Elephas maximus indicus: one gene and its partners. The protein of the gene in region 3 purifies or fractionates together with the protein of the main gene of each other region. This does not show direct contact. Links are inferred from orthologs where the notes say so. Each region holds a gene or a part of one and is shown on either strand. Other genes may lie near its edges.

Region 1 (7,387 bases), on a different chromosome or scaffold from region 3:
CCCAAGCAACTGGGTTTCGCTAACTGGGAAAAGATGAAAAAAAAAATCCACCTTAGCATCGGGTCCTTGCCAGGCGGGTAGGAGATGCCCCAGTCTAACAGAGTCCGCAGAAAGCCAGGGAGAAAGAAAGAAAAAAAAAAAAAACAGAGTCCGAAGAAAGCCAGGGAGAAGGTTAGCTTAAACTCTCAGAGACATCCAAAGCGTTCACATGCGTTGAGCTACAGAGGATCCTGAAATCAGAAAAGGCAGGCCACACACAGCTATGTCTCCACAGAGGGCAAGCTCCCACCAAGGCAAGGAAAAGCAAGGCTTCTCCAAGCTGTTATCAGCCAGACGATACAACGAGAAGAGTAATCTTTCCAAGGAAACATCCACAACCTCCACCCAGCTAACCTTGCTTTAAGCATTCAGCAAAGGATTTATCCAGAAACTTCCAAGTACACAGCAGCACAGAGTAACAGAAAGAGTACCAGGTTTGCTGAGAATCCCAAGCCCTCTATGCCAAGCCTTTTCACTTCTCTCCTCCAAAGTTTTCTCAGCTTTAAAAATGAGATAATCTTCAGCATAACTGCTTTATTTTCCAGGGGTTGGTTGGTTGCTTTCTTTTAAGTACTTCATAAAACCATGTGAAAGTGCTCTGTAAACTGTAAAACACTTTCTCGGCTATAATTGCTACCTTTTCTCTGCTTCAACTTGTGAGAAGGTGTTCTCAGGGCACCCTGGACAGGTAAGGAGAAGGCAGGTTTTGCAGAGCCGTCCTCAGATAGGAGAAGTAAGACACCCTCCCCCAACCACAGGAATAAAGAAGAATTCAGAACCGGAGCTGGGAGCAGAACCAGGTCTCTCCGACCAGCCCATCACACCACCTCCTCTGAAGTCAGTTCTGGCTCCTGATCACACACCCAGCACACACTTCCCAGACAGCACACCGCCTTCCCTCCCCCCTTTATTGACTGGATCCACCCAGTTTAAAAAAAATTATTTTTTAAGTCAGCGCTCCCACCATATGTGGCATTTATTTCCAGAGGAGGCCTGCTCTGGGATTCCGTGGACAGATGTTGCTTTGTGCCTGCCTGCCACGGCTGGCAGCCCTCGCACAGCTGCCCCAAGCAGGTGGCCAAGGATGGAGTCCACCCCTGGCCTTGACGCAAGGATGACAATCCATCTGGGACTCTGGTCTTGGGGCCCTCAACTCGTTCCTCTGCAGCCTGGGGCTCCCCACAACGCCCCACTACCCCTACACACACACACACACACACACACACGCACACACACACACTCCCCAGGCCCTTGCTCAGAATCAGACTTCAAAGGGGGCTGGGAGGGAGAGACGGGAGGTCAAGCTGCCGCCCCCACCCCAATTCCCTGCCAGGCGCAACTAAGCTAATCGAGGGTCCAGGAAGTGGAGAGAAGTCAGTGACCCCTTCTATCAGCCATCTGTGAGCTCCCGCCCGACACAGCGAGCGCGATCCGGAGGATAAAGGAGGTCCAGACAGATGGTAAAGCGCTTTGGGAAAGAGGGCTCTGCAGGAATGCGAGGGCCTTGCGAGGCCCACTTTGGGGTGCGTTTTGTTATCTAGCCGGCTCTGTTCTGCAACGACCTGCAATCTGCTAGGCTAAAAGGAGGGCAAAATCAGTGCGGGGCCGGGCGGTGCAGGGCGGGGAGAGCAGGACGACCCTACTCTCCGCCACTGGTCTCTCCTACTGGAAAGTCAGAACAGCGCACTGCAACTAAGTGCGTGTCTGCGTGCGGAGGGGGCGGGAGACTGGCACAACCGAGTCTAAAAATACTCGATAAAAATGCTAATCCCGAAGGCAAACAGAGAAAGAAGAAGGAATCTGTCAATCACGAGCTCCTGCTCCTCACCCACAGCCCCGGCTGTACGGACTGCATTCCTGCTGAGGAGGAGAGGGGGGACAGGGCTGAAGAAAAGAAAGGGAGACACACCACCACCTCCACGAGCGCGGGCCGCGGGGGCGGGAGGCAGCGGCAGAGGAGGGGCTCCGGCCCGCCGAGCCGAACAAAGCGGGCCTCAACTTCCAGCCCGCAGCGCCCCGGGGTGGGGGCGGCCAATTCCAGCGGCACCCCCTTTTCCGGGAGATGGAGAGCGAGTGTGGAGTCTGGAAGCGAGAGCGCCGCGTGGAAGCCCCAGGCTCTGAATCTTTTGCAAAGCCAGAAAGGGTTTTATTTGGGGTCCCCTCACCCCCTTCCTGCTGGCGCCCCAGCCCCCCCCTTACACACACACACAAACACACCCTCTCCAAATGCACCCAGCCGACCCTGCGCAACAAGGGGCTGGGCCCGGCGCGCCCCCCGGGGCCCCGGGGCCCCCACCTGGGGATGGTGATGCACTTGGTGTTGACGTTCTGCGTGGTGATGGCCTTCTCCAGCTCGTCCAGCTGCCCCGTCTTCTTGAGTTTCTTGACCAAGCTCTTGACCGCCTTCTCGCACCACTTCTCCTCCTGCCCGTTCTGCTCGCCCTTCTTCCAGCCCAGCAGGCGCTTCACGATCGGGGGGGTGAAGGGCAGGATGGACGACATGGCTGGGGGGTGGGGACGCGCGGGCGGCCAGGGGCGCCCCCGGCGGGGCTGGACGCGGCGGGACGCCGGGGGCGCAGAAGGGAGTTCTGCCGGGGCCGGCCGCGGCCGCCCAAACTTCGCCTCAACTCTCCGCGAACTTTCCCGTGTGCCGGGCCGAGCCGCGGCGCTGCAGCCTGCGGGGCTCGGCGCGCGGCCCTGCGCCCCGAGCGGCTCCCACGGCGGGGAGAAGGGCGGCAGGAGAGGCGGGCGGACGACAGCGGCACCGGTTTGAGCAGGCCCCGAACGCGGGGCAGAGGCGGCGGCCGGGAGACTCGGAGTGGCAGAAAAAAGTTTGGGTTTCCGCACGGGGTAGCAGTTTGGGTGCCGCCTCCGGGAAGGAAAGTCCAACCCCCGAGCCAAACTTTGCACTCCTCGCTCGCTTTGATGCGCAGATCCCTCCGCCTCTGCGGCCTCGCCTCCCGGCTTCCCTCCTCCTCCGTACTCGCTGCGCGCTCGCTGGGCCGGCCGGTGCCTGCGCCGCGCTCCCGCTCCCGCCCGCTCCCAGTCTGTGTTTCATGCAAATCCGCGTGCAGCCTCCTTTCCAAACCCTGTCACCGCCCCCTCGCCGCTGGGGCTCTCCGCCTCCTCCTCCGCGCCCCACCGCCTCCTCCCCGGGCGCCCTACCCGCCCCTTGCTCCGGGGAGGGCGCCCAGCCTGCCCCCGCCCCGCGCCTAGCGAGCCCACGTGGGCGACCCGGGCTGCCGCGGCCCCGGCTGGAGCGCGCGGGCGTCCGCGCGGCCGCGACCCGAAGTCGGGCAGGCGCCGGGAGGAAGTCGTGGGAAAGGAGCGGCGAGAGGGACCCCAGGCGGGAGGCCCGGGCGCCGGCCCTGGCGTCCCCTCTCGGAACCCACACTCGGGAAGCTCTGTTGGAGTTGCCGGCCGGAGAGGGCTGGGCTTGCAGCAAGTTGGCGCCGTCCCGCCAAGGGCTAGCGGTGCACCCGAGGACCCGGCCCCGAGAGGGGACGCACGTAAGGCCGAGGCCCCGCGCGCGCTGATCCCGCTCCGAGGCCTTGGCCGGCGCGGGCGACCCGGGTGCTGTTTTTAGTCTCTCATCGGTGAGATCACACCAGCTGAGAGTCCCGAGACTGAGTGCGGAGGCGAGAGCTAGGGGGTAGGAGGGGACTCTCAGAAGTGGAGATTTGGGGACCTCAGGGACTCCTCGGACTCTAGCTGAAGCCAAGGGTCCCTTGGGCCCTGGGAACCAAGTGCCCGATGGAAAGGACCTCAAAGACATCTATCTGCTGAGTTGATGAAGGAATGAAAGAAGACGGTTTAGAATTTACCTTTAGGGGGAAATTGCTTTACAAGGTGTTGTGGAGTCTTACACAGAAAGATCCGAAATCCAGCAACCAAGAAACAGAAGACAGCTTTGTTTTCAAAGCAGGGGCCTCAGAAAAAAGTGGCGCAGAACGGGAGTAGTACCCCAGAACTTTATTATTCAAACTTATCCTGGGTGGGAAGCAAACAAACTCTGGGGGAGCTCCGGGGCTTTTCTCGCCACCTGAGTGATTCAGGGACGTTTGACCACAGGCCCCTCAGCCGCTTTCAGGAGTCACCACAGTTCCCCAATGCCTACGGCCTTCTCCCCCGACCCTGCCCCTAGCCCGGTGTCTAAAGCCTTTGTTTGTTTTTAACAGCAGGAAACGCCCGTGGTGAGAAAGAAGTTATCTGCAAACCCTCAAGCGGGTGGGGAGTTACAAAGCCCAGTGAGGTGTGGCCGCATCCACAAAGTCAGCCCAGAAGGTGCAGGGGCCCTTGCCTTGTCACAGAGAATGGCTTCACCCAAGCCTGTGGCTTCTGCTCCTGGGTACTGCTCTCTGTCCTCCCCTCCTTCCAAAGCCTGCCCTGCCCAGACCTTAAAGATGCCCTGAACCCCCACTGGAACTTAGCAACCTGGTTCATGTTCCTGGTTGGTCCTCCTGCTATAATCCACTGCCACTGTGGTCTTAGGTTTCACTCCCTTCTTCCCAGCCCTCAGTTTCCCCATGGAGAAAGAGAAAGAAGGAAGACAATCTACTTTTTTTTTGTCAACCCAGGTTGCTCAGGTGCTGCCGTCTGATTTAATCTTCAGGACAACTCTTGAGGTCGATCTCACTGTAGCTCACAGGAACCTGAAACACAGTGAGCTTGCCATGCTTCCTAAGCGTTCCAAGTAGTAGAGCTGGGATTTGAACCTAGTGCTTTGTGAGACCTCAGTCTACATTCTTGCCACAGCACCCAGCTGCCTTAGGAAGTTATGGAAGGCAAAGTCACATGACTGGAGGTGCTCTTTGCACAATGAAAGCTCTTTACAGGGGCACACTGTTGTGATACCCCAAGAAATGTTTGCTCACCTGTAAAATGAGCCTAGAAATACCTTTCCTCTCAGCCTCCTAGAATGGTTGTGGGAATCTAATATGAAAAAAGGCTTTGCATATGGTCAAGTGTTACAAAGCGGTAGAGCCAACATCTCAGGCCCACAGCTGATGCCATTAAGAGGGGGCAGGTTGGGAGCTCAGTTCATTAGTCAAGCATCTATTGAGCACCTCTGTGTTGCAGTCCTCCTACCTAGTTCTAGGAGAGCCCAAAGGAAAGATGAAGGTCCCCAACCTCAAGGAGCTCACAGCCCAGAGAAGCACCAAAGGGAGGGGTGTGCCTCCGTGGGCAAGAATGGGAGTCACCATCTCCCAGTAAAATGATCCTTTTTTCCTGAACATCAGACCAAGCAAGTCCAACCTTTAAGAGGCAGCCAGATGAAGTAAAAAGAGGTCATACTCCATCCATGACTAACCTGGTTCTGAATCCTGGCTATCTCCCTCCCTTCACTTTGCTGAGCGTCTGTTCCCTCAGCTGTGAGAATGGACCAGCGAGCGGTATTTATTGTCCAGGATGGTGAATCTAGAAAGTGTTAAAATCCTTCTTCAGTGCAAACCCCTGCTGAACGGAGGTGTTGTGCACTTTGGAGGTAAGTCTCAGAGGCAGGAATAGTACTCTCTTCAGGCTGCTATGTCCCCACCTGAGAGATTTGAGGACTGAATGTAGGAGAAGGGCCTGGCAATGTACTCTAACCCTTATGGGAACCCACTGCCTTTGAGTAGGTTCTGACTCATAGTGACCCTATAGGACAGAGTAGAATTGCTCCATAGGGTTTCCAAGGAGTGGCTGGTGGCTCTGAACCAACCTTTTGAATAGCAGCCGAATGCATAACCACTGTGCTGTCTAAAATCATGGCATTGGAAGGGGCACTTGTTCAGCCTTCTTCGTTTCCTGATGGGAAGAAATAACTAGTCAACCATCTAGTTGGTGTGGCTGCATCACACTTTCCTGTGCCTCCTCTCCGTTCTGGTGTCCGTGTGGCAGGGATAGCTGTGCTTGCAGAAAAACTACTGGACCCACGTGTGAGTCCAATAGTGATGTTTCTGGGCTAGTTGTTTCTCCCCTGACCTGGTTCTCCATCTGAAGGGTTGGGAGAATAAGCCCAGTTTCTCAAAGCACTGAGGAGGGCCGAGAAGTTGATTCCTCCCAGTGCTGAGAGCCCCCTGTGTGCTTTCTTGACTCTTGGTGATGAATGGGTGGGCGGCTCGCAATAGATACGCACCCTGTTCTGGCACCCAGTCTCCTGGGGCCCAGCCAGGCCTGCTTCTGCAGAGGTTGCCCTTGGAAGAGAAACATTAGCCCGGTTAATATTTCATCATGGTGAGTGCAAAGTTCAAGAGAGGTGGGTGGGGGCAGAGGCAGCAACTCCATTTTCCTGGGAATACTTAGTTCTATTGGGGAGGAGTCTTGCAAGCAGGGAGCAGACATGACAAAGGGCTTTCATGTCTTTGGAGTGGCTCCCAGGTGCAGTACTGGAAAGGAACAAACACCTGACTTCTGATTATTTCTCCATTAGTGAAAGGATAGTTAACCAATAAGTGGTGAATCTAGAAAGAGCATTAAAGTTGTTCTCCTCCAGTGCAGGCTTCTCGTTTTACACAGGAAGTAACATCTGATGAACGGAGGCCTTTTGCACTATGGAGGTAAGCAGCCGAGTCAGGACGAGAACTCTGTCAGGCTCCGTCCCCTCACCTAAGAGAGAACTTCTGTCTTCAGTTAGATTTCTCTCTGTGAGCTCTCCGGTGGCAACAGTCAGATCTGGGTTAAGCTTCTAGTGCTACCACGTCTAGCTGTGTGACTTTGGGTGAGTTACTTAACTCTCTGCGTCTCAGTTTCCTCATTCATAAAATGGAAATAGTACTAACAGGATTGCTTAGGATTGCTATGAGAATATAATGAAATAATGCATGGAGAATAGCACAAGCACACAGTAGGGACTCCGTAGACATAGATGTGGTAAATGCATACCACGGGGTACTTTGCAAAAGTTAAGCAATGGGTGCAATGTACACAGAGCAAATGGATGGATCTGAAAAACAGTGCCAAGTGAAAAGACAGAATGAAATAAATAATAAATACTGCTACATAGGTAAACTTAAAAAAAAAAAAACCCAAGCCCAGTGCCATCCAGTCCATTCCCACTAAAAATACTTACACACTCAACTATTGTATACAGTTTGAATTATAAAAAGAAAAAGTTACACTCAAAACACAGCAGAATGGGTGTTTAAGAGTGAGTGTGTAGGGATTGGGGGAAGACTAACAGGGACATAAATGAAATTGTAGATCTATCTATAATGATATGTACTGAGGAGCATGAGTGACTTAACCCTCTGCTCCAGAGTTGCAGTGTTAAAAAGGTGCTTGGCACAAGTTAGTCAATATACTAATTCTCCAGTTTGCTCAGAAGACAGAACCTTTGGCTCCCAGCAGTTTCCAGCTCAGCGATCCC
Region 2 (7,987 bases), on a different chromosome or scaffold from region 3:
AGTGCATTAAGGGCAATTAGGTGATACATGGTGCAATTAAACATCTTTTTATAAGCATTCTAGTTGTGTTGCTCTCTCCTACATTCAGTACAAGAGAGGAAGTAGAGGAGGTTGAGAAGCATTGGGTAAGGTTGATGAGCAAGAAAATTGGCTCTCCTTAGGGCTCTAGGGCAGGAATTCTTAACCTTTTGTGTGTGTGTGCCAAGGACCTTTGTGGTGGTGTGTAAAGCCCATGAACCCCTTCTCAGAATGGATTTTGTGTATGAAGTTATCTCAGTGCATTGGTAGCTTCCAAGTACACTATCAGGCAAGCTATTCCAGAAGTCACGGAAGAGAAAGCCTCACAGACGAAATTAAGATATTTGAATCACAGGGTTATTGAATCAGTTTAAAACACACAGCCTGAGCAAGGGGAGCCAGGTGGGGTTGGTCATACACACAGAGGAGGGTACCAAACCCAAACCGAACCTGTTGCTGTAAAGTCGATTCTGACTCATAGCAACCCTACAGAACAGAGTAGAACTGCCCCACAGGGTTTCCAAGGCTGTAAATCTCTGCAGAAGCAGACTGCTACTTCTTTCTCCCACAGAGCGGCTGGTGAGTTCTAACTGCCGGCCTTTTGGTTAGAAGCCAAGTGCTTAACCACTGTACTACCAGGGTTCCTGGAAAGAGTACAAGCAGGTGAAAGGACCATATCAGCTGAACCCTAATATTCATATCTTCTCCCTCTTCTCCTGTCACATCAGCCCTCCCCTCTGGTTGTGAGGTCAAAAGCTGAGGGTGCTCAAGGCGCTTCCACAGACAGAGGGTACCTGGAACCTACACACACTTGCTCTACGCCTGGACTGCAGCTGTAGCTCGCCATCTTTATACAGTTCAGCCTGCTGAACAGACATGGGTTTTATCTGTATTTCCTGGGCAGAGCAAATGTAGAGTCAGAATGGGGCCATAATGGTATTATCAATGGCGGACCACTTAGGGATGGCCTAGTTGTCAACCCAGAGATGGAATGATCACACCTTTTGACCTAGCTACTCTCTAAGTTAAACTTTCATTTATTCTGTCACACATTCCATTTATTCTATCTACATTTAATATATCTAACAGGTTACTAACTTATTTATTATCTATATTTAACACATCATATGGACTCCGGCTAGATCTCACAACCTACTTGCTTACTCATCATTCATTATCTCTTAAACTACTAGCTTCTTTACTCTCTGTGCTTAACACTTTTTATGAGTTTCACTCATTCTGTTTTTCTTGTCCTCTATATAAGAAGTGAATATTTTCAAATCCAGCACCCTCCCATTACAATAATGTTTTTAAATATATAAAGTGAAATATATAGTATTAAAAAAGAAACCAGTTATATTGAAAATACAGTTCTACTGAAAGACATCCTGTGTTCATGGGTTGATACACTTAATAGTCTAAGATGTCAACACTGCCCAAAGCAATCTACAGATTCAATGCAATCCCTATCAAAATTGCAACTGCCTTTTTTGCAGAAATGGAAAAGCTGATCCTTAAATCCATATGAAATTGCGAGGGGGCCCAAAAAGCCAAGGAAAACTTGAAAAAGAAGAATAAAGTAAGTGGACTAAACACTTTCCGATTTCAAAACTTGCTACAAAACGACAGTAATCAAAACAATGTCGTACTGGTATAATAATAGACATATAGACCAATGGGATAGAATTGAGAGTCCAGAAGTAAACCTATACGTCTATGGTTAATGAATTTTCAACAGAGTGCCAAGTCCATTCAACAAATGGTACTGGGACAACTGTATTTCCACATACAGAAGAATGAAGTTGAAACCCTACCTCATGACATATACGAAAATTAACTAAAAGTGGATCAATGACACAAATATAAGAGCTAAGCCATAAAACTCTTAGGAGAAAAAAGAGGGGTAAATTTTCAGAACCTTGTATTTGGCAATAAATGCTTAGATACGACACCAAAAGCATGACCAACAAAAGGAAACATATATAAATGAGACTTCATCAAAATTAAAAACTTTTGTGCACCAAAGGACATATCAAAAAAGTGAAAAGACAAGCTACGGAATGAGAGAAAATATTTGGAAGTCATACATCGGATAAGAGTTTAGTATCCAGAATATGTAAAAAACTTATACAACTCAACAAATAATCCTATGGAAAATGAGCAAAGGACTGAAATAGACAATTCTTTTAAAAAGATATGCAAAAGATGCTCAACATCATTAATCATAAGGGAAATGCAAATCAAACCCACAATGAGATGCCACTTCACACCTACTAGGATAGCTGTTATCAGAAAAAAAATGGGAAATAAGTGTTGTCGAGGACGTAGAGAGATTGCTGGTGGGAATGTAAAATGTCAGGAGCTGCTCTGGAAAACAGTTTGGTGGTTCCTCAAAAAGTTAAACATAGAATTACCATAAGCCCATTGCCCTCTAGTAGATTTCGACTCATCCCATGGCCATACAGGACAGAGTAGAACTGCCACACCCGGTTTCCAAGGCTGTGATCTTTATGGAAGCAGACCGCCACATCTTTCTCCCCCTGAGCGAGCTGGTGGGTTTGAACCAACCAGCCTGAACCTTTAACCACTGTACCACCAGGGCGCCTTGTTAAAATTAACAGCAATTCCATACCAGCAATATACTCAAAAGACTTGAAAGCAGGGATACAAACAGATATTTGTACATCAATGTTCACTGCAGCACCATTCACAATGGCCAAAAGGTAGAAACAACCCGTTACTGGAATAAGGTTCTTGCCTCTCACTGGTCAAGAATGAACAGGCTAAGGCACGCAGAATTTTCCACATAAGCAAAGCTTTATAGAAGACGCTTGCAAGCAGAGAAGAGGATGGCCTAGAGCAACGCATACCCCGTCTCACAGAACAAAAGACAGGCTGGGTTTTTAAAAGTTCTTGGGCGGTAAAAGACTCATGTTTATTAACACAGGCGGAGATAGTTAACTACAGTGCACGCACAGCAGCTTTCCAAGATAGCTCCTGTCCTGGAGGCCTCTGAGATTTGTAGCAGGACTTACGATGGGGTGTTGCGCCCGCGCAGTCACTCGCTCCAGCGTTTGATTCCCTGGCTGCTGCTGCAGCCCCTCACTGCCCCTGGTGCAAGGTCACACAGCAGGTCACAGGTAGATGTTCTGCGCATGTTCCTGGGGCTGGTTTTCTCCAGCTGCTTCTGAAAAACAACTTTAAAGAAATGTGTGGGCTATTTTCTGATACCCTGCCCCATTCTGGGCCCCATTGTTCTGGAGAATGGCTTTGTTTCTGCGCCCTGGCCCATTTCCTGTTACTTCACTTGCAGATTTGGGGGGCCCTCTATTTCCTGTGTTCAACCCAAATGCTCATCAACAAGATGAATAAACATATGTGGTACATAAATTAAAAAAAAGAAAAAAAAATTTTTTTTTAGTGGAATAATTACTCAACCATAAAGAGAAATGAAGTTCTGATACATGCCACCACACGGATGAACCTTGCAAAAAACATTTATACTAAGTGAAATAAGCCAGACATAAAAGGACAAATATTGTATGATGTCATTTTTACGGAATGTAAGTAGCAAATGCATAAAGAGAGAAAGTAGACTAGTAATTACCGTGGACTGAGGGTAGAATGAGGAGCTTTTTCTCAATGGGCACAACGTTTTTCTTTGAGGTGGTGAATAAGTTTCGGAAACAGTGGTGATGGTTGCACGACATTGTGAATATAATTAATGCCACTGAAGTGTACACTTAAAAATGGTTAAGATAGGAAATTTTATGTTCTGTATATGTTTTACCACAATAAAAAAAAAATTCAGCTCTGCATTAAATAACAAGATAAATCAACTCAGCAGTACCGGGTTTGGGTTTTTTTGTTTGTTTGTTTGTTTGTTTGTTTTGGTATGAGGAGGTCTAGTAACTACCGCTCGTGCAAGTACCGATGAACTTAAACAGTAGTTTGAATTATCTCCAACAACTGTAAAAACCCATTATCATCAAGTTGATTCCAACTCCTAGCAACCCTATAGGACAGAGCAGAGCTGCCCCACAGGATTTCCAAGGAGCCCCTGGTGCATTCAAACTCCCAACCTTCTGGTTAGCAGCCGAACTCTTAACCACTACACCACCAGGGTTTCCAACTGGCATAAAGTGATATGAAAGTATGTGACACTGTATATCACACTGTGACCCCACCCTGAATCCTCCCCCAACCCTTCCCTTCAACAGCAGATACTGGTATTGCTAATACTCCTGGGATTTAAATTCATAATGAGCAAGAGTCTGAATTTCAGTTCGTCTTCTGTCCCAATGGTCTATGGACTTCAGGTTAGAACACCCGCCAAGGGTCAGTTCGGGTTGACCTCCCACCACACGGTCCACCCTACAACAGATCAGTCATATTCAAGAGCCACCCAGCATCTTCCAGAACAGACTTGCCCTTCGCGGGCAAGAGGACACACTTGAAAAAGGGCTACCCATTGCCATGGAGTCCCTGCTGACTCATAGCAACCCTATAGGACAGGGTAGAACTGCCCCATAGAGTACCCGAGGCTTTATGGAACCCAAATGCCATGTCTTTCTCCCGCAGAGCGGCTGGTGAGTTGGAACCGCCAACCTTTGGGTTTGCAGCCAAGCACTTAACCACTGCGCCACCAGGGCTCCTTATAAAACGGGCAAGAAAAAAGAAGATTTTTTTTTTTAGAGGGTAGAATTAGAGTAGTAAGAGCAAGTAAGCTTCTCTGGAAGACAAAATGGGTAAAAGGAAGGGGACTGGTCCTTCACAGACGGTTCGAGCCCCACCACCATCCCCCTCTGGCAAACAGCAGCTGCTCAGAAAACGCCGCTTCGGGCGCACAGGAGACACCGCCCACCCGCGACCCGCAGGGGGCGCGCGCGTGCTGCCCGCCCGCCCCGTAAGCGCAGGCGCCGGGGACGTTCCCGCGGCCAGGCATCAGCAATCTATCGGGGAGCGCCGGGTGGTCGGCGCGGCGTGGTCGGCGGGGGCGGCGGCTTTGGGCGCTGGGGCGCCTGCGGTGGGCGGGCAGGCACGCGCGGGGCGGACGGGGCGGCGGCAGCCGGCGGCGGCAGCGTGTCTTCAGGTGGCGGCGTCGGGCTCCAGGAGCTGCAGCGGCACGAGGAGGAGGATGGCGGAGTCCTCGGACAAGCTCTATCGGGCCGAGTACGCCAAGAGCGGGCGCGCCTCTTGCAAGAAGTGCAAGGAGAACATTCCCAAGGACTCGCTCCGGATGGCCATCATGGTGCAGGTGCGGCCCGGAGGCCCGAGCTGGGCGTCCGTTGCGGCCCCGGCGGCGCGGGCCGCTTTGTACCGAGCGGGTCGAGCGGCGGGCGCAGCCCCTCCCTGAGAGCGCGAACCCCCCACTCGCCCCCGCAGTGTTCAGACGTGGAAGGGGCGGGTTGGGGAGGGTGCAGGCTGGAGAGCTGGCCCGGAGGGGCGAGCAGGGCCGGGAGGGGCGAGCAGGGCCCGGAGGGGCGAGCAGGGCCGAGAGGGGCGAGCAGGGCCGAGAGGGGCGAGCAGGGCCGAGAGGGGCGAGCAGGGCCCGGAGGGGCGAGCAGGGCCCGGAGGGGCGAGCAGGGCCCGGAGGGGCGAGCAGGGCCGAGAGGGGCGAGCAGGGCCCGGAGGGGCGAGCAGGGCCCGGAGGGGCGAGCAGGGCCCGGGGCCGCCCGAGCCGCTGGCCTGGGCCTGTGGGCGCCGCTGCTGCCACCATTCCTCGCGCGCTGCGTGGCCCGCCCGGGGACATTCCCGGACGGTTTTGTTGATCTTGCAGCAAAAACCCGGGAAATCTGGGGCTGCTGGTACCTTTTGATTTTTAAAAGTCGCTTCTGCCCTTGTTTAGGGCGGAAGAGCTCTTGTTTTTTCTTTTTACTGTCCGCCTTAGGGGGGAAAATAGATATGGTCTTTCGAAACTAGGCTGATTTTTTTTTTTAACACGTTATTTTTTCGAGCAGTTTTAGGTTTTCGGAAAAAGTGAACCGACTAGAGAGCTCCGTATCATCCCCTCCCCGCTGCACAGTGTTCTCCCCGTTATTAACACCTTGCAGTGGTGTGGTACATGTGTTACTGACGATGAACCAATGTTGATAAACTTAACTAAAGCCCGTAGTTTACGTTAGGGTTTTACTCTGTGTTGTATGTACGCTCCTGTCGGTGTTGACAAATGCGTAATATGTCCACCATTACAGCATTGTACAGAATAGTTTCACGGCCCTAAAAATGCCTTGTGCTCCACCTATTTATTCATCCCTCTCCCTGACTCCTGGCAACCCCTTTCACTTTGCTTGTAGGCTTGACTTTTTCCAGAATGTCCATATGGTTAGGATGGTACAGTATATAGTGTTTTCAGACTGGAAGCTAGCCTAACTTTGACCTACCTTGTGCTGGAAGATTTTTGTCCTACATTGATGCTGGCTGCTGACATGGGAGAATTTTTTTTCTTTTTTAAATCTATTTTTGGCTCTCATGTCAGCGGCCTGCTCACCCTCATTTTGAATCTTAATTTATGCAAAACTATGCAAGTTGGTGTAGTCTCTGTCCAGTACACGCCCTGCGGGTCTCACATATGTTTTAAAATAATATATCCCAGGTTCACAGATGTTCCCTTAATGCGTTTACAGCTGTCTGCTATGTGTAGAGTGGCTCTGGGAGGGTTGGTCATCTGGGCTTTTTGACCAGTCAGGGGTTCCCCCTCAGTGCCCTAAGGGGTTTTGGAGTGTACTGTGAGGTGGTGTGTCTTAATGCTCCTGCTAAGGGCTGGGGGTTCCTGCCTGCTCCAGCTTACAGTTTGCTGATGTAATTCTGGCTCTCACCTAGCTTGGTGCTCAGCATCAGTTAACTGTTTTCCTCCCTTGCAGCGAGACAGGAGTGTGTGTGAGGAATGACCACATAGCCCTCACTGGATATTCAGGACTTATGGGGTAGAGGTGTGGGAGACAGTACACATTAATGAAGTGGGTACCCAGTGCCAGGTGTACTTTATTCATTTCATAATATGGCAGTTACTGAGGTGGTTATCTTGGCATCCTCAGGACCTACCTAGTTCTGTACCTGGCATATGTATTTATTCAGTAAACATTTACTGAGCACTTGTTAAGTCCCAGGCACTGTGTTAGGTGCTAGGAACATAAAGACACACTGCTGGTCAGGGGTGGTATCCCCCTCATGGAACTGTGTGCCCAAGAGAGGAGGCCAAGAGGTCGCGCAAAGTGTGGGAGCTTGAAAAGGAGTCATTGTGTACAAAAGTGGGGCACAGGAAAATGAGGATAGAGGAGTAGCCTGGACCTGCAATTTGAAGAGCCATTTCTCCCATTAAGGGGCTTTGAATGGGGCATTGGTGCATCGGTGGTAGAATTCTCACCTCCCACGAGGGAGACCTGGGTTCTATTACCAGCCAGTGTACCTCGTGTGCAGCCACTACCCGTCTGTCAAGTTTGTCATACTGTGGTAGCTTGAGTGTTGCTGTAATGCTGGAAGCTTTGCCACTGGTATTTCAGATACCATCACAGTCACCCATGGTGCACAGGCTTCAGCAGAGCTTCCCAAACAAAGACTAAGAAGAAAGACCTGGCAATTTACTTCCGAAAATTAGCCAGTTAGCCAGTGAAAACTATTCATTACAAGGAAACATTGTGAGATTCACAACCTATCATGGGGATGGCACAGCCACAGGCAGTATTTCTATCGTACTTGGGGTCACCGTGAGCTGGGGCCAACGTGATGGCAGCTAACAATGATAGCAGGAGGTTTTGAATTTTACCCTCAGTATATGGGGAGCCTGCTCTTATGAAGTCCCATCTCAGTGCAAGGATTCTGCAGGGATTCTTAACCTAGGGTCTGTGGGATGGTGGCTGGAACTCAGAAGAAATCCATGAATTGGTGTGGGAAAATTTTTTACATCCCTATTTTTACTAATCTCTAGATGAAATTTAGTATTTCCCCTAATAACGAATGTAAGCGTCAG
Region 3 (7,792 bases):
GGGAAGACGGAAAGAAATTTAGGCAAATTAAGCCCCCAACGTGCACTATAATTTTCTATTTCTGAACTGATTTGTAAGAGAATAAGGGTAACTGAAATTAGCAAAGCATCACCCCTCACAAAGATGGCGCGTGCAGAATTTGCGAAAGCGGAAAAGAAGGTGAAGGAGAAGCAAAAAAGGGACGGCATACTGCAGTCTGGGGTGGTGAGTGTTTGGATGGGGGTGGGGAAAATGCTGCAGTTTTCATGAAATAATAAGGTGGGGGAACAAAGGCATACAAAGAGTAGGTTTTTCATTGTTTGTAAAATATAAACACAGATGAATTCTGTCTTTGGTTGGTTCATGCTTTTCACTCTGCACAGCAGGGATGTTCTTAAGAAGTTGCCCTCTGCGAAATTTCACTAAATGGGAACCGTGGACCCTGCATGATGGGATTATAATCACACCAGCCACTCCTTTTACATAATTTTTTGTTTAAGATCCAGTAAGACTCCCTGTTTTTACTATATATAAAGCAATAGACATGTCTATGTCGATAAACTGAGGATTTGCGTCCCCATAGCCTAGCGCAAGCTAAAACAAAAACTGGTGATATCGTATCTACAAATCTCAATGGACTCAAAAACAATATGAAAATTTTTAGCTGACAAGAACATGTCTGCTGCCTGCAGTCCTTGCAACAGCTCACCATGTTGCCTACTAACCGAAAGATCAAAAATTATCGATTTCATGGCGCTGCGTGCTCTGGAAAGAAAAGCTACTTTAAAATTTGCATTGTTTAAGAAATGAGTTAAAAGAATCTTTTTTTTTTTTTTTTTCCTGAACACTTTGGAATGTGAAAATGGCTTGTTGTTTTAATCTTATCCATGATTTACCATAATTCTATTATTTTTAGCAGCTGGAGTCCAGAAATCATTTTTTTCGATGAATTTAGGATTTTGCCGCAGTATACATCTGCAGTCCCAGAATCCTCCGGTAAGTTAATCCTTCTTGCGATGGGAAACGCCTTTAACCTTCCTGTGAATGAAGTATCTGCAACCATTTTGAAATTTTTATTAGAGGTGTGTGCGTGTGTGTGTTGGGAGGTAGACGGTGCCTCCAAAGCATGATTTCTTAGGGATGTGGCGGTATTTGTATTAGTACTTAGCAACATGGAGAAACAGATACCTTTGTGTTCTTTGAATATCATGGGTGATGTCTCCATTTCTCGTCCTTCACACTTTCTATGGTTGCCATTAAAATGTACTTCCTCAGTATGGCAAGGAATGTCCTGCCAAACCAGCGAAGGCCTCCGGAACACAGAACTGCGAGCAGAAGGGTGTTCTTGGCATAACTGAAGAGGCCATGAACATAACGCTACTGCCACCACCACCACCACCACCACCATCGTGTTCCACCACCTTCACGGCCCCTCATTCGATCTGAAATGCACACCAGACGCAAGCTTTCCACACTGACTCTCCGCCAAATCTGCCCAGTGGGTTCCCAGATTACTTGTGTGTGCGAGAATAGCCAACCATGTAGTCTGACAAGAGGTATTTACAACTACTTAGCCTGTTGAGCTGGAACGAAATCAAAAGATAACACTGAACCCTGAGATGATGTATTGCAAATCAAAAATAGTCCATAAATAGCCCACTTGACGAACTGCTAAATGAAAAACTGACCCTAACTATTGTCTGGTGTTTTCAGGTTGTCATAAATACTTTTAATGTGCCTTCCTAGAGAGTGGGGATTTACTGTTTTTAAAAGCACGGACTATTATTTAGTCTTTTTGTTGGGGGGGGGGATTCCTTTTAAGGGGATTCCTTTTAAGGGAATTCGGATGTAGAGTCCAGAGACCACACCCTGATTTCACAGCTCTTGTTTTCTGTTTCTATTTCCAAGTAGTGCTGATTAACATTTATAATTATTAATTTAAAGGATCTAATACAAAAGATCCAGTCATCTGTTTCCTTCTTGCTAAACGAACCTCATTGTCTTAGGTGCTCAATAAGTGTTTAATTAATAGATTTGATAGAGTTAACCACCCAAAAAGTGAACTGGCCTTCTTCACAATGCTGACTCGATAAATGCTTCTGTCCCAAGTGCAAAAACAATCTCTGGGCATTTATTCCTTTGCCTAAAGGTGATTCAAAGGTATGTGTTTTAGCAAAGGGATGCTTTACGTTCGATTCTGTGTAGTCACTGCTTGATCTGCCAATGGTCGAATATCACAATAATACCTCCACTGCTAAACCAGCTGGAGACGTGCTGGGTTTCTAGGGACACTGGCTGAAATTTAGAACCATTTGTCTGTTGCAGTCTCACAGAACGAATTAATTTATCTCAAACTCAAGTGGGCTGGCTCTACAAGGAAAAGGTGATAATCAAGGGTTTTTTTTTTTTTTTTATGAAATGTCTTGCTCAAAGTCAATTTTTAAAAATCATTTTTTACAAAATCACTTATTTCACCAACTCATTAGGTATTTCGATACTTGTCCTTTGGTTTAATGATAGTATTTATCTTCATTGCACAGAAGTCATCTCATATTTTTGATGAGACAATTGGAACAATTTGTTTTATGAGAGGAGGAAATAAGTAATCGGAGAAATTTGTTAAATTCAACTGATTTGTTTTAATGCTAGTCACCCAATAACTCTTCAGTATACTTACATCTGACGGGAAAAACTGCTTGCTGCATTGCTGCAAATCTTATCATTTCCTCTAAAAACATGTGTTTGCTTAAAGTATCAACAGATTAAAAACATTAATTCTATATTTAGAGAAAAATGCTTGGATTATTTTGGCACCTGAATACAGACATACAAATTTAAGAGTATTTTTATCCTTTAGATTGTCTAATGATGCAAATATTTCTTACGCCAGTGTTAACACCATGCCTTATTCAGCAAAAATAAACTGAGCATAGAAAAAGCAAACATCTGCTAAAAAAAACCCTCTAAATACTGTTTAATCTGTCATCTGATTTTAAGACATATGACTGTAATCAAATCAACCCTAAATTCTTTAACTCTGTACAGAAGAGTTAAAATTGGGGATTAATACCTGGAAATACCATTTATACTTCTGAGTTTATATTAGAAATATTGCTTTGATTAAATACCTTTTTCTGTTCCAATTGTCTAAATTACGACCAGCTGAACTGACCACAAGCATCAGCTACACTTAATTCCACAGATTACTAGCAAAACTGCATATGATAAAGTCATTCTGGACAATAGATCTCACTGAGTATCATCTTAGGGCTTGGACTTTTTCATTGCAGGAACCCACATGGGCTATGGCGATAGACGACAGTTATCATAACTGTATATAATAAAGTATTTTTTAAAACTGCAGAACGGAGTTTAACCTACTGGCCCTGAAGTATTAGCTATGCTAAAACTACCAGTGCTACTCCTTGAGTGAACCAGTAAGGCTAGGTTTCCTGCCTGTACCTATGTATAAACGCTTCTTGTTTGCATGCATTAATTATAATTCTGGTATAAAAGCCCCAACATAACTTTCACTGTTGCTTTTTGTACTCTCTTCATTGCTTTAGATGAAAAATAAGCATAAAGCAATAGACTAGAGAAAGTGAGTCGATAATAATTGTTTCAGCTTTCACAAATGCCAATCTTGCTGGATTACAATGGGGACATTTCCAAGGGAGATGAAGACCCAACTTCAGCCTATCAAAACGAATTAGAAAATGTTTTTGTCGTTGAAGAAAATTAGCTTAAAAAAAAAATTAGAGGCTGTCTAGTCGACAACTCCTTCCGTAAACAACATACTTCGCTTTCTCATGTAACACCGTTGAAATACACCTCCCACAAAGAAAAATCTCCACAAATAAATCTACCGGTACTTAGCACAGCGGAACCAGATAAAATTGGAATCTATAAGAATTAACCTAACTGACTGTCTCTAGCTAATCTATCTCCATTAGTCATTTGTTCACAGTAGGCACTCATAAGGACTTGTTGAATTGCAGACCTGGCGCACAATCTAGAGCGCAGCCTCCCGTAGTGGGATGGAAGGCGGCTCGGCCCGGTCGCTGCCATCCGGATTCAGGCTGCGCAGCCGGTCGGGATGCGAGATCCACGATCCTGACGGTGGGGGGCTTTGGGGTGGTGTGCAGCTGGGCTACGAGCCTGGCCTGGCAGGGAGTGTGTGGCACAGACCACAACCGGAGTCCCCGACGGACAGCGGGGCAGCGGGGTCGGCGGCGGCGACGCCCAGGCAGAGCTCGAAGGCAGGCGGGCCCCGACCCCGGTGCCCGCGCCGCCACCCCTCGGCTTCGAACTTCCACCCTCCGGGGACCCGGCTCTGCCCGCTCCGCACAGCTCCCGAGGGTCGGGGCCCAGGGGCCGCCTCGGGCGGGCGGCGAAAAGCGCGCGGCGAGCCCGGCGTCGGCTCTCATGCTCCGGTGGGCGCGCAGGGCGGGGGCGCCGGGCTCGGGACAGTGGGAGACCTCGGTGCCGCCCTGCCCCCGCCCCAGCACGCAGGAACTCCGGCCTCTCCGCCTCAGGCCATAACGCCCCCACGGGACGGCCTCCGCTCCCGCGCGGAGAGGCAACTACCGGCCTGCACCCTAAAGATGGTCTGGGAGGGCGCGCGCCCCGCCCGGGCCCGGGGCCCTGGGGACGCGGCGGGCGGCCAGGCTGCCAGGGACTACTTTCCACCGCCCGCCCGCGCCCCGCCCCTTGTCCTCGCGTGGCGGAATGCTCCGCCAGCGGCGGCAGGATACAGCGCTGCTGCGCCCCTTATAAGAGCTCCTTGTGAGGCGCCATTTTAAGCCTCTCGGTCTGTGGCAGCTGCGCTAGCCCGGCCCTGGGAGCGGAGAGCGAGGGGAGGCGGAGACGGAAACTGTGGAAGGGCCAAGGAGCAGCTTCAGTCCCCGCCGAGCCGCCACCGCAGGCCGAGGACTACTGGACTCCCGCGGCGGGCGGAGCCTGTTCCCCTGAGGTGCTGGACGCTCCTTTCCTTACCCTTCCGGGGCTGCTCCTGCTCCCTCTTCGGAGCCAAACTTCGTCGCGGGCGCGCGGTCCCGGCAGCCGGAGGGGACCCGGGCCCGTTGCAGCCCGGAGGCCCGAGGCGGGGGGCGCGGGCTGGGGCGCCTTGGAGGCGGCGGCGACGGGCCGCGCCCGGTGGACGGAGGGCGGCGGCCGGGCCCCGATTCCGCTCGCGCTGCCCCTCGGCGGTCCGGGGGGCGCCGCTTGGGGGAGGAGGGGGCGCCGCGGGGGGCGCGTCCAGGAGCCCGGATGGCCGGCGGGTTGGGGGGGCCGTGGTTTCCGTCCGGGGCTCCGGCCGCGGTCGAGTTTGGGGGAGGGACCCTGGGCCTCGGGATGCGCCGGGGCTGGGGTGGGGGGCGGGGGTGGGGCTCCGCCTTCCCAGCCCGAGTCGAGAGTTGGGGTTCGGGCGCTGGGGAAGGGGCGCTACGCTAGGTCGCTCCTGCGGTGGGGACACAGCCAGTGGGCTTTCTAGAGTCCCCTTTTCTTTCCCAAGGAGAATAAGAAAATTATTATTTTCTAATGCCTGTGCGAGTTTGGCACTGGCGCTTGTTAAAATTGAAGCAACTTTAAGCCTTAGAGGAACAAAACTCTTCAGTGCAGCCGGTGCGATGCGCCAGCAGGGTTTGCCCGTGTAAGATTTGTGTCTTGCACCTAAATTTTCTTGTGTCGGGCAGGTGAATGATAGCCAGCGAGGACGCGTGGGATATTACTGGGAGTCTTGGGTTTATGTAGGTGGGTGTGAGACCCAGTGAAATGGGGGGGGGGGGAGTCCGAGGGCGACGGGCTGACTGTTAGTGTAAAGTGAAGTGTGGGACTTTGCCTCTGTTTTGAGAAATCTGTTCGTAAAAGCATTTTATTCCAATAGTTTTATAATTAAACTATTTTTAGAGCACATTTTTCCCCCCCAGCAGAGAGAATTTTTCCCCAGCTACGAAATTGGCCAAGTGTAATTCAAGCACGGCAACTCCTTTCAGTGTTTTGTCTGGGGGAAAGGCTTTTTTTTTTGAACAGAGACTTTTCGGAGTTCCCACAGCCCGCTTCTCAATCGGCTAAGCTCGAAAGCTTTGGCAGTTTGTTGTAGTTGTTTCCTTCGTTTTCTGCTCGCTTTTGGAGGCAGCATTGTCTCATACTTTGTATCTTCCAGACATCTGTGGTCTCCCCTCCCCCTGAGTTTGTGAGTGGTGAATGAAGAGAGACTGGGCTGCTGGTATGCAGAGGTCGGCAAAAGGAAATCGAGGAGTGGTTTTAGTGAAATGAGAGCTTTGTATCATGAATAGCGGTGGCTTAGACTAGACAGCGACTTGAAGAGACGGCAGCGTTTCTTTTGATAAAGTCTAGGCTAATCTTTTTCAGATTGCTAAGTTAGAAAAGTATTTTGCCTGGAATTTAGGAAGCCATTTCACTCTTTGTCCCTTGGTGAACATTTCATACCTTCAGAGAAGTTTTCTCCTTGCCTTGTCTTCATCCTGAGAAAGTAATGTTAGATAAAACTTGAAATGCTAATTAAGGTCTGCTGCTATTTACTTCCTGCTTAAATGAGTGACCAAGATGTGTTGTTTGGAATCTTTTCTTTTAAGTGTGATCTAAGTCTGCTGCTACATTTGTTTTACTTCTACATTTAAACTCACAAAACCTCTGGATTAAAAAAAAACAGTACCATCAATGTTTATTTGAGACTCTCCTTTCAGACTAGACAAAATTTGATTAATTTGCACCCAATATTCATTAATTTGACCTAGTCTTTGTTCTGAAGGCCATGTACAAGGACAAGGCCCTAAAGTGATTGCAACAGTAACTGAAGAACTTGAAAAACTTGAAGAAGACTGTTCCATAGGATTAAAGGAATGCAGAGACTATTCAGGTTTGAAGTCCTTGAGGGAGAAATAAAAAAACACTGCGCTAAAAGTCTCAGTGTAGCACGTAACTTAGAGTCCTTGTGGCTTCCTAGGCCTGAGAATTTTTCAGAGGCCAGAACGGTCATTTTCGATAGTTGTAAGGGAAAACTAACACTTTTTTTTCCCACAAGGTAGCTAATAAAAAATGAAGCATTTAACAATATAGAGGTGTCAAGAAGCAGTCAAGAGTTTTTTTTTTTAACCTGATTACTTCATTTACCAAGATTAATTTGTAGAAAAATTTATATTCAAGTATTAAAACTTATTGAACTTTGAATTGAGCTTTCTACTGCTGTTAGTGATGATTGGAGTAAAAATTGTCGTAAATGGAGTTCCATATGCTTGTTTTCATAAATCCTGTTATCCAGGATAGAAGGGAAAACATGAAGTAGGCAAGTTTCCCCAAATGTATTTTGAGATGTGATGTTTAGAAAAACTATCTGTGGATATCTTTTTTATTTGTTTAGTTGCGGGGGGAGGGGCATGACAAGTCGAATGTTGAAACTAGGGCCATGGAGAAATCTAAAGTTTGAATATCATTCTTACATGGTTATCAGTAGCAGTGAAATTAAACACCAGAAATGGACTGTGTAAGTATATTTATCTAGATGAAACTTGTATTATTGAAATGAAACAGTGCATCTGTCCAGTTATGAGTCTATTTCCCTTTCCTGGCTTAGTAGTTGCTGATAATAATTATAGATGAGTAGGTGGTAAATTTTAAGTCTGTTCTTTGAGCTTGGCTACAAGCACGCTTGACTGCCAACTCAAGGTGGAAAGAATGAAGGCTATTAGAGCAAGACAAACTTCCGGTGAAAGTATTGGCAACTATTTTCTAGTGCTGTATGTTGACTTGTAACATTATTTTTGAAAACACTGTGTTAAGTTGGTTGTTTTCT
Region 4 (7,608 bases), on a different chromosome or scaffold from region 3:
ATAACAGCTCTCATAGACCCCCCTCATGTAGGCTAAGCCCTTTAGATGGTCCCAAACACGACGCTCTTCATGGAAAGGCTACCCAGCACTTACTGAGTCTTCAGCTTCACACCACTGTTTCCCAATGCCCACCCCAATTCCACTTTTCCTTTAAAATTCTGCTCTTCACCACTTCTGTGATGCATTCCTTAACTCTTCAGATACCCCCCACATCAACTTATCCCCATCATTATATATTTTTTGAAAATGCTTCTTTTGCACTGTATTTATCACACTGTGAAAAGAGGTTAAAAAAAAAAAAAAAAATGACTATCCACCCCCCACTAGGCTTAAAAGCCCCCTGGGGGCTTTACATTTAAGTAAGGGCTTAAATACATCACAGTTTAACTGAAGAAAATATCAATAGCTACCAAAAAAAAAAAAAAAAACCTGCTTACCACACCCCCAAAAAACTTATATCACCTTGAAGTGGTCAGGTAAATATCTGGTTTACAGAGAGTCCTTTCCAAAAGACTCTAAGGAACTACTTAGTATAAGATTCTAAAAACAAAACCCAGCACTGCTCCTGTAGTTTTCATACACTTCGCATATGTAGAATTAAATTTTTACTGAAATAATTGTTATCATCAATGCTGATTAGATAATGAAATGTCCTTTATACCACTTACCACCAAAGTACTTCAAAGTTTTCTCTAAAGCAAAACTAGCTCACCTAATTTCTCATCCCATAAGAAGTAAATTTGTCAAAAGGTACAGAAAATCCTATTTCCATATTCCCAGGACTACAGAAATACTCCCTATATAACTAATTCAGAGTTGACTCCTACATCATCTTTTAAGTATGCTTAAGAAAACTTCCAAAAACGTTTCCTTTACCCTCCAGTGATGCCTCTCAAACGTTAAAGCCTAGTAATAAGAGTAACAAAAAGACTGCACATAAGAACATTATTCAGGTTACTGATTCTGAAATCTGTATTAAAAGGAATGTGGCTTAAGACAACAATATAAGAACATTTAAACCCTGACCCACAAAGAATTTGCTAGGTTTTTCTGGCACCTGAAGGCCACCTTACAGCAACTGCTAAAAAGGACAAAAACCCCTACTGTTGTTAATGGGGATGTGTGGATCTCGAAGACTACTAGCTTCAGCAAAAAAACAGGATAAATTCACTACTGGCAAAACCCAGTAGTTTAAGAGAGGCTAAGTGCAACTTTTGGCTCCTTTACTTGAAAGTAAATGCTTAAAGTGAGAAAAACTGAGAAGCAATAAACCTGTACAATGAAGCTTTACAAGTTTTACCAAGTAAAGACATGCTCTGTTCCAACAAGCTACCACACCTTGTTAAATACTAGGAATGTGCCAACACAACGTACAACGCAGCTAGGTAGACCTCTGTTTAGGATGGACTTCTGACTTAAATTACATAGAACATGCTAGAAACCTGTCAAGTTCATTAAAATAATCCCCTTAAAGATGATCAATATCTACCAGGAAAAACAAATTAATTCAATACTGATTATTTAAAACCCTACCAATCACTTCCATTCCCTCAGTTTCAGCATAATCACAAAGTTAAAAACTGAAAGACATCTACTCAGGTAACATTTTCAAATCTATAGCCACTGCTTTTAAACTCCAAGATGTACCTATCTTCAAACAGCCTAGGAAATATACAATTATCCTGGACTGCATGTAGCTCAGAAAGCAATGGTCTCAACTGACAAACTTCTATTAAGTATAGCAATTACCTGGAACCTTAAACTATAAACTCTCAATTGCAAGGAGATGAAACTTATCAACAAATTCAGAGTTAGCATAGTAAAATTAAAACACATAGAGCAAAACCTGTGAGAGCCAAAACTCCACAAGGATTTCCTTGTTTTTCCAGGTCTCAGAAGTTTTCCACCTTGGACGGTGCAATCTGACCACTTTTCTATCACTTGTTTTGGTGAAAGGTGTTTGACTTTTCCTTCTTTCACAGATTTCCACTTTTCCAAGTTTCACCCTCTCTCTACATACATAAACATAAATCAAGCATCGACTTTATGTAATTTAAGCCAAAATAAATGCCAAATGTGGTGTGATGTCCACAACGATAATCTAATTGAAATGACGTTTTCTTACTAATCAAATTAGCAAGCCCCTTTCTTACTTCAAGCACTGTAACGCTGAAAACACAAATACAGTCACATAATATCAATGTTTTCAGTGTAAGCAAGCGTTCTTTTAATTTTGACTTGCCTGTTACACATTTTTCAAATATACAACCTACAGGTCTACTATGTATCTATCTCACCACTCCCTCCCCCATTTGCTAGCTCTGTAAATAACCCTTGATGGAGACAGTGACAAATCGACCATACCAGAAATGTGAAAGAAAAAAAAAAATCTTCCAAAGAAAATCACTAAAACTTACTTTTCCACCAATGCGCACTTGTGCCTGCAGTTTGGCGAGTTTCTCCTGATTCATGATAGTTTCTTTCATCTAGGAAAACAGAAAGCCCTCAGCGGGAAAGGTCTAGCTCACTCTAGCCTTCCACGCTCATTATTTCCCAAGACACCAGCAGGGGAGTAAATGTCCTACACAGGCCGAGGCCTGGATCCCCGAATCCACCCCGCAAAGCTCCCAATTTCAGTTTTGAAGGAGCTTAAAGAACCACCACCTCCCCCACCCGTCCCCGGGAACGCCCCGCTCTTTGCGGCCCGGGAACAAGGGCTCTAACCCGAGCCCAGTCAGCATCCCCCACCCCCGGCCCTGGCCCGGCCTTGGCCTAGCCAGGGCCCGCCCGGCCCAGCCACTCTCAGCAAGCCTCGTGGTACCTGAGGCTCCTGTCCTCGGGTTCCGCCGCGAGGAGGAGGAAGAGACGGCGTCGCCTCGACCCCAGGGCAGCCGCCCCTGGCTCGACCTCGCCCCCGAGAGTCAGACTGAGTGGGTGCGCCTGTCCGTCGCATCGCCTTCCTCTCCTGAGCCCTGTCCCTCCCTGTCTTGCTCCTTTCGGGAACTTCCCGCCCCCGCTCCCGTCCTCCTCCCACGCCGGCGTCCAGAGCCTTTTTGTACCTTGTCGGAGCGGAAATGGGGCCGCGCGGGGGACTAAGGTTGGCGCCCAGGGGGTCTCTGGCAGACCAGCTGAGACTAGGCGCACACACGCGGGGACGCAAGATGGCAGCTAGAGGGAGGCCGGAAGTGACCCAACGCCACTTCCCCCCAAAAGTCAGGAAACGGGCTTGGTCGCGCGCTCGGCGCCTCGGTACGCACGCGCGGCCCTGCGCCGCGGCGATTGTGACGGCCACGCGGGTCTTCTCTTTTTGGCCCTGCAGCGAGAGACTCTGGGCTAGAGGCTTCCCGAGTAGGCCGGGGAAAGGCTACAGAGGGGTCAGAAGTATGGTTCTTTGCACAGTTAAGGTTGAGTAAGTCCGTCCTGTCTCCGTCGGATCCTGATCCCGAAGTTCTTTTCCCGAAGAAGAAAGTTCTTGTTCGTGTTTCCGGGGAACGCCTCTGGCGCCCGCTGTGTGCTCGCTTTTTAGCTGTTCTCCGCTCCCCGAACTGTGTAGATTCAAACGATCGTCTCAGTGTTTTAGAAATTCCCCTTCAGCCCGAATGAGCTTCTGCCAAAACGTCAAAAACAGTGAAGTTAATTTTGCTTTCCCAGATTAGGTGGTTTGGTAGATTGTGAGACCATGATTCAGAATTTCTGGAAATTTTTATGTTCAGAATGCACCCCCAAATCCTGCCCCTCAAAACGATTCAGTAGGGCTGGGAGTGGGACCTGGTAATCTGCATTTCAGCAAGTTGGCTGACCAGCTTAATCCAGTCTACGTGATTACTTTGTTTCTCCTGCTCCTTTCACAGGCAAAAAGTTGACTCCCTGGTATCGGTTTGGCGTGGATTTGACAATTAGCGATTTACGATTGAACAAACATTATCTTTCTTAACTAAGTAATTCAAAGGAGGATTTGTACCCGGTGTGGTTGGAGGATCTAGGTTTCTGGGTGTGAGGTAAATTTGCTAAACGCCTGTACAAGCTGGAAGACAATCTACCATAAACCCACCAATATTAAAAATGACTGTTTAATAAAAATGCTGCTTCGACACCCTTTTTGTGGTCTTAGCTATAAAATGCTTTTTCCCAATCAAAAGTCAGCCCAAAATCTTAGCTAGAAAGAATACAGTTTATATAGAAGACAATTCTTGTGTGGATTCCTCTCCAATTAAGATTATTCGTTTTGTTTTTCAGTACTTTTCACATGTAAGGAATGTTAAAACTGTAATGTCCCATTGAGATAACTGATGAGAACAGCTGTATTGCTTTTTAGGCTAGTGTAACAGTTGATAGTTGCTCAATTAAAAATAATTTTGCTTCTATTATTAAATATGAGTCAAGTTTAGTATGGAAAAGGATGTTTGTTGTGTTAGGCTATGTGGGTCACAGTCATAAAGATGAAGATCAAAATGACTGACAGCTATTCTGTGCTATGGAGAAATACTGCCCGTTTTGAAAGGACTGTATATATCTGTTTGAGGAACAGCTTTTTCCCTTCTTCCATGTTATACTGGGGACATTTGAAATTTCCCTAGTCATCTCATGTTTTCTGAGCTTTTATGTAAGCACAGACTTCTTAAATATGTCACTTGCCACCTGACTTACCTCTTATACAACTGTGTTTAGGAAACGTTCCAGGTTTGTTTTTTTTTTTTTCCTCTTGGTTCACAATGTTCCCTCTTGTTCTTTTGTTATTTTTAAGAATCTCATTGAAAATCGTAGTAAGATTTTTCTTTTTAATAGTAAGAAGTAAATAGGTTAATAGATTTACTTCTTATTAGTAAGAAAAGAAAATTTTGACTTTTGACTCCATTAGCCGCTTCTGCTTATTTTGTGCGTGGTCAGAAAGTTCTGAATCTGCTAATATTTATATACAGGTATTTTCAACAATAAGTGATAGGATTTTTTTTTTTTCACTCCCCCAAAATTGTTACTAAGTTGAGGTCTTAGCTCAGGGATAGCGAAAGAGTCTCACCTGCTGCCTTTTCCCATGTGCTCTCAATGTCTATGGCAAATGTGGATAACTGCCTCCCACGCTTGACTGCTGCACTTTAACAAGCCTAAAAATCATTTTACTCAACACTCAAGATGGCCTCTGTCAAAAGAGTTGGCAAGAAAGGTGAAATCTTTTTGCCCTCTTTGGTTTATAGTTTATGGTCTAATCAAAGTCCAGGAATGGTTTTCACCCCTCAGTTGGACTTCAGTATCCTTCAGCAAGAAGAAAATATTCACTTTATATTATACTTACTTTTAATGGGCCATTGAGCCACATTCCCGCCCACAAGAGGTATTGGGAAATCACTCAGGGTGAATGTTGCCGTGCTTTTTAGTTGCTTCATGGTCTGGCTGACCCTCTCCTGGTAGCCACCTCAAAATTCGTTGCCACTGAGTCAATTCTGACTCATAACAACCCAGTAGGACAGAGTAGAACTGCCCCCAAAGGGTTTCCAAGGAGCATTCAAACTGCCAACCTTTTGATTAGCAGCCGGGCTTTTAACCGCTGTACCACCATGGCTCCTGGTAGCCACAAGGGACATTTAATTTTGTTTTGTTTCTAAACCTACTTGAACTCTCCTTCTAGCACCCCTATCTTTGTCAAGTTAGTGCCTATATATCATTTGGCTGTCAGTTTAAATGTCTCAGCAAACCTTTCTCTAACACCTCCAAACCTGTTAAGTTACCTATCCATCATAGCTATTTTAATTGTGGTATTTTATTAATGCAAAATGAGAAATTGACAATTGTAAATTAGTGGCAAATTGAACTAGGAGTCTAAAGAACAATTTCCCACCAGGTTAATATCGACTGCTTGCTCTTTGATCATTTGACCCTCACATAAATTTTATGAGGTAGGTACTTCCCATTTTACTAGTGAGGGAACTGAGACTTAGAGGGTTAAAAGGTATGAAAATAGAAACAACCTCATCTTCCCTCTGCCTGCTGACCTGTATGTATTTAAACCTATAAATACTGCCTTCACTCCTGTTACACATAGAAGAAATATTCTGCCTGCTTGTACTTTGGCTTATGAGATTCCGGACCTTGCGTCATCTGTTATTCTCTCCTATAATGCTGTTTTCTCTCTTTGCGTTAGATCATTCTACCAGTACACTGACGTGCCTTAGTATTAGGCATCTTAAAAGAGAGCAAAACAAAAAATCTACTTTTAACCTATGTTCCCTTCTGGCCAATACTCTGTGCTCACCTGTACAACAGAATTTCTCCAAAGAATTACCTAAAGCCTTTATCTCCACTTTGTCTCCTCGCATTCTCTCTCAGTCTGCCGTAAATGTGTTTTCATTTACTCCAGTCCTCTGAAACAGCTCCTCTGTTCTAAAAACCTCCATCTTGCCAAATCCAAAAGGTAAATTCTCAGTTCTCATTTTAGTCTTTGAGAAGCATTTAACACGCTCAACCACCACTAACCCTAACCCTAACTTTTTCTTCTCCAGGCTTCCAAAGCATTCCACTTCCCTTGTTTTACCTTACCGGCATTTCCTCAGTCTACTCTCTTCATCTTCCTCAATTAGAATTGTTCACATTTTAGTCTCCGTTGTTCTCTTTTCTATCTACACTCTTCTTAAATTGTTTGATCCTATCACTTTAAATGCGATCTTTATTTTTATGACTCCCAAGTTATCATTCCAACCCTGCCTTCTCTTGAACTCTAGATAGGATAATCTTTTCAGGTTGCTGTGGATAACTTCACACACATACAAGTAGAAAGAATAAAGTACCTCCATACACTAATACTAATTACTAATACATAGATGCGATATTCTTCATTTGTGATAGGGTAACCCCCCTCTTTTCTTTTTTGAAGTTGACATTTATATTCCATATAGATTTTAGATTTTGTTCAATTTTTAAATTTTTGAATTGATTGGGTAGATTAATTTGGGAAAGTTTGACATGTTTTCTAATTTGGGAAGATTCGACTCATCTTTATGAATCTGTTCTGTTGTAGGAAATAGATCTGGCAGTTTTGAATATGTAGGGATTTAACATAGGGAGTCAGTACTTAGAAAATTGTTTAAAGGGCTGGAGACGTGGGCTTTAGCCTGGGTCATCAGAAATGAGTCTCAGGATAATATATTGTAGAACTGGCCTATTAGGGGAGCTGCTGCCACTGCCCCCATGAGGACAGTGGAGAACCAGGACCCCACAACTGGGAATTATTGATGTTAAGAACACACCATTGTTGCTGCAATTCGGGGATCGAAAAAGATACTGTAACAACAACTACTCAACACCCACAAAGCTAATGACTGCACTTGGAAACTGCTGCAGAAAATAACACTACCTACACAATTATGCCTGCCAGCAAAAAAGCAAAGAAAACCCACAAAAAACAGCAGGAAGAAGGTTGAAGCCTTATTTCCACCTTCCACATTTTACTTAAAAGTACCTAATTGGCAGAAGTAATTTACCTCTAGAACACTAACTGCAAAGTAGTCTGGGCAATGTCATTTTTAACTTTTTAAATTTATAAGCAAGCTTGAAAGAAGTTGGAATGGATGCTAACGACCAATCTAACTTAGCCTAAATTGTCATATCCATGAATCC

Evidence for each region.
Region 1: the proteins of CTNNB1 (region 3) and SMAD3 purify together in Homo sapiens (affinity purification with western blotting; 6 studies listed by BioGRID, with this or other methods). This does not show direct contact. The link is inferred for Elephas maximus indicus from reciprocal best matches to the Homo sapiens genes CTNNB1 and SMAD3.
Region 2: the proteins of CTNNB1 (region 3) and PARP1 purify together in Homo sapiens (affinity purification with mass spectrometry; 4 studies listed by BioGRID, with this or other methods). This does not show direct contact. The link is inferred for Elephas maximus indicus from reciprocal best matches to the Homo sapiens genes CTNNB1 and PARP1.
Region 4: the proteins of CTNNB1 (region 3) and BTF3 purify together in Homo sapiens (affinity purification with mass spectrometry; 3 studies listed by BioGRID). This does not show direct contact. The link is inferred for Elephas maximus indicus from reciprocal best matches to the Homo sapiens genes CTNNB1 and BTF3.

The regions. Positions count from the first base shown.
Region 1 is NC_064831.1:57,135,862-57,143,248, reverse strand, and holds the start of SMAD3 (mothers against decapentaplegic homolog 3), read right to left. Parts: upstream 3,060-7,387; 5' UTR 2,542-3,059; coding exon 2,336-2,541; intron 1-2,335. UniProt on the Homo sapiens protein: Receptor-regulated SMAD (R-SMAD) that is an intracellular signal transducer and transcriptional modulator activated by TGF-beta (transforming growth factor) and activin type 1 receptor kinases.
Region 2 is NC_064842.1:16,085,135-16,093,121, reverse strand, and holds the start of PARP1 (poly [ADP-ribose] polymerase 1), read left to right. Parts: upstream 1-4,945; 5' UTR 4,946-5,155; coding exon 5,156-5,275; intron 5,276-7,987. UniProt on the Homo sapiens protein: Poly-ADP-ribosyltransferase that mediates poly-ADP-ribosylation of proteins and plays a key role in DNA repair.
Region 3 is NC_064838.1:45,680,655-45,688,446, forward strand, and holds the start of CTNNB1 (catenin beta-1), read left to right. Parts: upstream 1-4,756; 5' UTR 4,757-4,951; intron 4,952-7,792. UniProt on the Homo sapiens protein: Key downstream component of the canonical Wnt signaling pathway.
Region 4 is NC_064820.1:77,740,909-77,748,516, reverse strand, and holds the start of BTF3 (transcription factor BTF3), read right to left. Parts: upstream 3,048-7,608; 5' UTR 2,954-3,047; coding exon 2,822-2,953; intron 2,487-2,821; coding exon 2,418-2,486; intron 1-2,417. UniProt on the Homo sapiens protein: When associated with NACA, prevents inappropriate targeting of non-secretory polypeptides to the endoplasmic reticulum (ER).